Macaca fascicularis: one gene and its partner. Each later gene encodes a partner of the first gene's protein in a complex. Links are inferred from orthologs where the notes say so. Each region holds a gene or a part of one and is shown in the gene's direction. Other genes may lie near its edges.

The links.
Region 2: the proteins of KLHL3 (region 1) and WNK3 are in contact, whole or in part, in a crystal structure (PDB 5NKP), measured with the Homo sapiens proteins. The link is inferred for Macaca fascicularis from reciprocal best matches to the Homo sapiens genes KLHL3 and WNK3. Residues at the interface, in NP_059111.2 of Homo sapiens: Lys312, Arg339, Phe355, Gly357, Arg360, Thr386, Phe402, Gly404, Ser405, Gly407, Ser432, Ser433, Tyr449, Gly451, Arg454, Cys456, Ser481, His498, Arg528, Tyr577; in NP_065973.2 of Homo sapiens: Glu537, Cys538, Glu539, Glu540, Thr541, Glu542, Val543, Asp544, Gln545, His546.

Annotation. Positions count from the first base shown.
Region 1 is NC_088380.1:144,120,795-144,124,445, reverse strand, and holds part of KLHL3 (kelch-like protein 3), read left to right. Parts: intron 1-3,092; coding exon 3,093-3,210; intron 3,211-3,651. UniProt on the Homo sapiens protein: Substrate-specific adapter of a BCR (BTB-CUL3-RBX1) E3 ubiquitin ligase complex that acts as a regulator of ion transport in the distal nephron.
Region 2 is NC_088395.1:54,211,778-54,215,428, reverse strand, and holds part of WNK3 (serine/threonine-protein kinase WNK3), read left to right. Parts: intron 1-218; coding exon 219-450; intron 451-843; coding exon 844-974; intron 975-1,789; coding exon 1,790-2,400; intron 2,401-3,651.

The DNA of each region.
Region 1 (3,651 bases):
AGCTGTCGTGTATCATTTTTGTCTTTCTACTGAGGCTTTACTTTAACATTACAAAATTTGCATTCTGTAACACTGTTTCTGTGAAAATTCTCAGAGATGAGTGGTAGATTTTCTCCAATATGAATGTACCCTCTACTTCCCTGGTGGGAGATAGTTTCTGGGGCATGGTGAGGGTTCCTGAAAACTTTGCCCTTTTTTTTTTTAAATTTACAAAAGAAGCTGGATAGCTTATGCCAAGAATAAGCAAACTTTCTTTTGGTGGTCGAGTCAAAAGATGGAAAAACTCTCACTTTCTCTTTTTATTTTGCTTGTTTTTTCCTCACTGTCTCCAGAATTTTAATCTGGTGTTCCAACATATTTTAACTAAAGAAAATGGCATTTTAGTTTAGTTTCTTTTTTCATTTTTAAAAACTCTGTATTGTTGTTGAACTCCTTGCATGTGCTGTTTACTTTTTATTCATGTATTCTTTATTCCAAACAAATACTTGAGCCCTCACTTTTACCTGGCAACATAAGTTTGTGGAGTTATCTTGGTGACTGAGGCAGATACATCTTCTGCCCAGGCAGGGCTCACCGTCTAGAGGCGCAAAAGACAAGTCACTGATGGTCCAGCACAATGCAGAACCCACAGGGCAGGTGAAATCTCAGAGGATGGATGTGTAGTTCTGACTTGGAGGCCAGAGAAGTCCATTTGTAGGAAATAACATGTAAACTGAGACCTGAAAGATAAGCAGGTGTTAAGGCAGAGCGCTCAGAGTTGGGAAGAAGGTTTCGAGTCAGGGAACAGCATGTGGGAGGGTGTGGGGTGCCTAAAGTCCTTGCAGAAAGAAAACTTAAAACTGCTTTTATTCTCACTCAGCTTCAGAAATCAGATTTCAAAGAAAATCTTGCAATATTTGCCTTCAGTTTGGCTTTACCAACTCAAAACCGGAAAGACAATGCAAGTTCTGGGCATATTTACAAGCACGTAATTCTGGCCTTGAAGAGTAGATTAGGCATTGTCTGGAGTTTGCCAAGGGGCTGTGCTCATTAACATCCCCCTTGAACTGTTCATGGATGCCTGTCTAAGCAAAGAATTCCAGATGGGAAGTAATGTAGAATTCATCTTTACTCTGAAAAAGGCTACTCTTGACACAGGGCAGTGGGCCCTCTGAACTGAGGCACCCAGGAAAGTCAAGAACAGAATGTTTCTGTCTGGAAGCAGCAGCAGCAGCAGCTCGAGGCTGGGCTTTGTGTCCTGGGTTCCTTTGGAATGCTTTAGAAGTCAGAACTGATATCTGAATTTTTGAACACTGGTCACCCACTTTTGGTGACAGACAGCTATGGACTAAATCTGATGACCAGTGACCACCCACATGGCAGTGGGTGAGCCTCTTCTGGAATATTGGGGAATAAAAGATTGATCTGTAGTAATGGTGAGCTCTGGTTTTGCCTCCCGTATGGTGGGAAGTGTTCATTTGAGGGATGTGCTCCTGCGAGTTCACACAGAGTTTGATGGGCACTTCTCTCCCCAAAAATACATCATGGGGAAGTAAAAAGCCCTATGATAATTCATAATGGCAAAAGTTTTTCATGGCATATCATCAGGAAATCTACACAGTGTGGATTAAAAAGGTAGTTCTCAAAGTATGAACCCTAGAGTGGCAGCAGCAGCAGCACCTGGGAACTTGTTAGAAAGGCAGCCTCTGGGCTCCACTCCAGATCCACCGAATCACACTCTGGGCACAGGGCCCAGCAGCTTGTGTTTTCACAAGTCCTCTAGGTGATTCTGATGTATGCTCAAGTTTGAGAACCACCGGGTAAAGGAGACAAGCTACAGGTAATGATCAAATGAATTTGCTGGTTGTAACTTCCACCCTTTCTCTCCACTCAAGAAAGCATATCGGAATGCCATTGAGTGAGAGTGACATCATTGTGGGGACAGCTATGAATTCGCACACGCTTATTAAAATATGTAAACTATAGGTAACTGGTACTTTAATATTTATTTATTAATAACATGTGACCAAAGGCACAGCAGTGATACCACAATTAAGTACTGCAGTTCTATTAACCTAACCAGAGCAGTAGTTTTCATTGTTTTTGACCATGCCCTTGCAATACAAAATGCATTTAAATTTCTATCCAGAAGACACATGTAAGTGTGTACAACTAAAACAAATATTTCATGAAATAATATTCTTATTATCGTACTTTTAAAAATATATATGCTGGTCATAATCCATTAAATTGATTTCATGACTTACTAATGGAAAGTGACCTGTGTTTTGACAAACACAGATGCAACCAGCTGTGTTTGCTTGGATCCTGTCTCTAGAGCAGGAGTTGCGGGGGTGGCTGGCCTCACCCTCTGTCAGATAGACTTGGATTTCAGTCTCTGCCTACACTCCTAGCTGTGTGACCTTGGGCCGCTTAATGTGTTCTCTGAGCTTTACTTTCCTATCTGTCAATGTGGATGATGATGATTACCTCACAGCTGTGGTGACGAGTAAATGACAACACATTTCACATAGTGCCTGGCAATGGTGGCTACTACCTTACTTGTGGAAATAGGACTGCTAGCACTAGTTTTCAGAACATCATCAGTTTAATAACTTTTGTAATAACCACCTCACAGGAGTTTTTCACAAGTTTTTTCTATACTGCAGTGCAAAAGTGCACCCTACATTCTAGGCATTCAGAAATACTTTTGAATAATACTTTAAAAAATGCATCCAAATTCTGCACTCTTTTTCAAAGTATATTCAAGTTTGTTTTGATATAAGATTTAGCACCTCCCATTCCCAATCTTGAGGACACTGAGATTACAGATGATGCCCTACGTGGCTTCACACACCCACAAGATAGCCCCTAGTGGGGCATTTGGGAAATAGAACTTATGATTGTGTTTCTGTGGGAAGATGCTTGTTAGACTTTTCTTGAATACTCATACCTGTTGGTGACTAGGGGCAGCATCTCCATGTATGTAGCTCTGTAAACTGGCATCTCGGATCATCCACAGACCCTGAGTGATAAGCCATGTGGAAGTACCAGGGATACCATAAATCCAGATTTTGGGGAGACCCCGCTAATGTCCACTTGTCTCTCTGGAGGTCATGATTGTGGTTGGCGGCCAGGCACCCAAGGCAATCCGCAGTGTGGAGTGCTATGATTTCGAGGAGGACCGGTGGGATCAGATTGCTGAGCTTCCCTCCAGAAGATGCAGAGCAGGTGAGCAGCCTCCCAGTTCTGCAAGCTGTTTTTCCCCTGCTGGTCCCCACTCTGTGCCAGAAGTCGTGAGCTACTCCTTGTTTCCTCAAGCATCTGTGCATTTCAGGCTCCCTTTCTTTTCCCTCCTGCACAGTTTTTTTTTTTTCTTTTTTTTTTTGTTTTAAGACAGTCTTGCTCTGTCACCCAGGTTGGAGTGCAGCGTCATGATCTTGGCTTACTGCAACCGCCGCCTCCTGGCTTCAAGTGATTCTCTCACCTCAGCCTTCCAAGTAGCTGGGATTACAGGCACACACCACCATGCTTGGCGAATATTTGCATTTTTAATAGAGACGGGTTTCACCATGTTGGCCAGGCTGGTCTTGAACTCCTGACCTCAGGTGATCCACCCACCTTGGCTGCCCAAAGTACTGGGATTACAGGCATGAGCCACCACGCCCGGCC
Region 2 (3,651 bases), on another chromosome or scaffold:
GTAAATGGAGTACCTTGGGTTCAGTCTAATATGCTACTATTAATGCAACTAATACATAATACCCTATTTTGGGTTAAAGATCAGTCTGTACAAGAAATTCCGGTGTTATTTTTTTTAAAAAAAGCTTCACCTTACCTAAATTATTACCACTTTGGTTTTTCTCGGTTGTTTTGTTTTGTTTTGTTTTGTTTTGTTTTGTTTTGTCTTGTCTCCATTAGGAGATGTCCTCAGATGCTTCACTTCCAGGGGATCCAGAGGCCTATCCTGCTGCTGTGTCAAGCGGTGGAGCCATTCATCTGCAGACAGGAGGTGGATATTTTGGCCTAAGCTTTACTTGTCCTAGTCTCAAAAATCCTATTAGCAAGAAATCCTGGACTCGCAAATTAAAAAGCTGGGCATACAGGCTACGGCAGTCAACCAGCTTTTTCAAGAGATCAAAAGTCCGTCAAGGTAGTGTGCTTACAGTCAGGGACATAGACTAGGTAACATCACTTTTCATTTACTTATTTTTTTGTTGTTCATATACAAATCTTGCCACTTTTTCCACGTAGCCCATGTATGTGACATGTCCCATTAATGTCATTGCCGTTTTATTTTTTCCTTTTGTAACTAATTTGGTTTTCCAGTTATTCATTTCATATAGATACTAAGTCTTGGGATAAATCCTGCAATGTCTGATTTAGACTTAGGGACTTATACGATGTTGCTTATTACATTAACACCTTTTAATTGTCTAGCAGGAGTTAAGCTTTTTCTACTTTTCTTCATTTTTGGTAATGTAAACAAATTTAGTCTTAACAAACAATTTTCTCTTTTCTACTTACAATTTGGCAAAACTTGCAGTGGAAACAGAAGAGATGAGATCAGCAATTGCTCCTGATCCCATTCCTCTGACACGGGACTCTACAGCTGATACTAGGGCTTTGAATAGATGTAAAGCGATGAGTGGATCATTTCAGCGGGGTCGGTTCCAGGTTTGTGTCTTTGATTGAATCCTTATCTACAAGGGCATTATAAAACATAACAGCCACTGGAGATCTTGGTCTGTAGATGATACTTCCATTTTTGTTTTTTGTTTTTTTGTTTACTGAGATGGAGTTTCACTCTTGTTGCCCAAGTTGGAGTGCAATGGCATGATCTTAGCTCACTGCAACCTCTGTCTCCTTGGTTCAAGCGATTCTACTGCCTCAGCCTCCCGAGTAGCTGGGATTACAAGTGCACGCCACCACGCCTGGCTAATTTTTTGTATTTTTATTAGAAACGGGGTTTCACCTTGTTAGCCAGGCTGGTCTTGAACTCCTGACCTCAGGTGATCCACCCGCCTCAGCCTCCCAAAGTACTGAGATTATAGGCGTGAGCCACCATGCCCGGCTGATGATACTTACTTTAAATGTAGATCATTGTCATATTTAATTTGTTCACCTTCCATGCATCCCCTCACCTTTTGAAACCATCAGTAAAGATGAGTCTACAGAAATGGATAGTAGCTGGTAGAGAGCACAGAAATAGTTTTTTTTTTTTCTTTTTTTTTTTTTTTTTTTTGGCGGGTGGGTGGGTCCTCTTTTATAAATGTAATTTCACGTCTTTTAGAATCTCAGCAACTCTAATTGTGGAATTTTATTTGAGCAATATGATGCCCACTCTCTTTACCCAAGGGGCCTGTTTGAAAGAGTGAATTTGAGGGTATAGATTAAATTTTTAAGTTTTGCTAGTATCAATACATATACATCACAGCAGACCATCTACTTGTCTGTGCTATGCTAACCACTTTTACATTTTTATATCTCAGGTGATTACAATTCCTCAGCAGTCAGCAAAAGTGACATCTTTTGGAGTAGAACACATATCAGTGTTCAGTGAGACAAACCATTCTAGTGAAGAAGCCTTTATTGAAGCAGCAAAGTCTCAGTTGGTAGAAATAGAACCTGCCACACAAAATCCCAAAACTTCGTTTTCTTCTGAGAAGTTACAAGCTCTTCAGGAAACCTGTAAAGAAAATAAAGGAGTTCCCAAACAAGGTGACAACTTCTTATCTTTCAGTGCAGCTTGTGAGACTGATGTATCTTCAGTGACCCCAGAAAAGGAATTGGAAGAAACTTCAGCCACAGGAAGTAGCATGCAGTCTGGATCTGAACTGTTGCTTAAAGAGAGAGAGATATTGACTGCTGGGAAACAGCCTAGCTCTGATAGTGAATTTTCAGCCAGTCTTGCTGGCAGTGGAAAGTCAGTGGCAAAGACTGGTCCAGAGAGTGATCAGTGCTTACCACACCATGAAGAACAAGCTTATGCTCAAACACAGAGTTCACTCTTCTATTCGCCATCTTCCCCAATGAGCAGTGATGATGAATCAGAAATAGAGGATGAGGACTTGAAGGTGGAGCTTCAAAGATTACGAGAAAAGTAAGGACTGTTTCTCTTTTGTCACAAATCTGGTTGCCCTGGATTTTATAGAACTTAGTATTTGATTGGTAACTAATTTAGGATTGTTGACATTTTAATGATTGAAAACTACAAAGAATGCTAATGCTAAACATTTATGAATGAGAAAAAGTTCTTATATATAAAATGTTTTCATAGTCTCAAGACTATTACAGTTGCTTATTTACCAATATGATTTAATTACTCCTTTTGTTAACCTTTACAGTCCTTATTCTTAAGGACTTTTGGTTTTAGATTTTACAACTATTCTTATATAATTTCACATTTGATAAGTAAACAGCTGATTTATTATAATCAGAGATAGTGGTTCATCTTCTTTAGGAAAAGGTAAGATACTTTCAAGATCAAGCTTATTATTTGGTGACTGAGGTAATCAACCTTCACTAGTGAGATTATGATAATATATTTTGTCAATAGAATGCTGTTTTGTATTTAGTTTTATAAAATAGGTCATTTTAAAAAAAGAAATTCAAGCCAGCTGGGCATGGTGGCTCATGCCTGTAATCTCAGCACTTTAGGAGGCAGAGGCAGGTGGATCACCTGAGGTCAGGAGTTCGAGACTGGCCTGGCCAACATTTTGAAACCTTGTCTCTACTTAAAAAAAAAAAAAACCATACAAAAATTAGCCAGGCATAGTAGCAGATGCCTGTACTCCCAGCTACTTGGGAGGCTGAGGCAGGAGAATTGCTTGAGCCTGGGAGGTGCAGGTTGCAGTGAGCCCAGATTGTGCGCCACTGCACTCCAGCCTGGGTAACAGAGCAAGACTTTGTCTAAAAAAAAAAAAAAGAAAGAAAAAAAAGAAATTCATATTAAGTTGCTGAATTCTAATTCTATCCACATGGTTCAAAATTCAAAAGGTACAAAAGGGTAACCAGTAGTCTCCCTCCTAGCACTGCAGCTGAACTACCCAGGTTCTCTCCTTACACACAATAAATATTACCTGTTTCTTGTATATCCAGTTAGTCTATAACCGTACAAACAAATATGCATATTTCATTCTTTGTTCCCCCAAATAGTAACTTACACTGCAAGACTGTTCTTATATCTTGGTTTTCTTTACCATTTCATGGTATCTTGGATATATACCTGTATCATTATATTTTTGACTGTTTCAAAGTATTCCAGTATATGCATATACTCATAAGTTAATTACTAGCCTCCTATTGATGACCCCATGCCATTACTTTGAAAAGTTGAAACCAACTCTAGCAA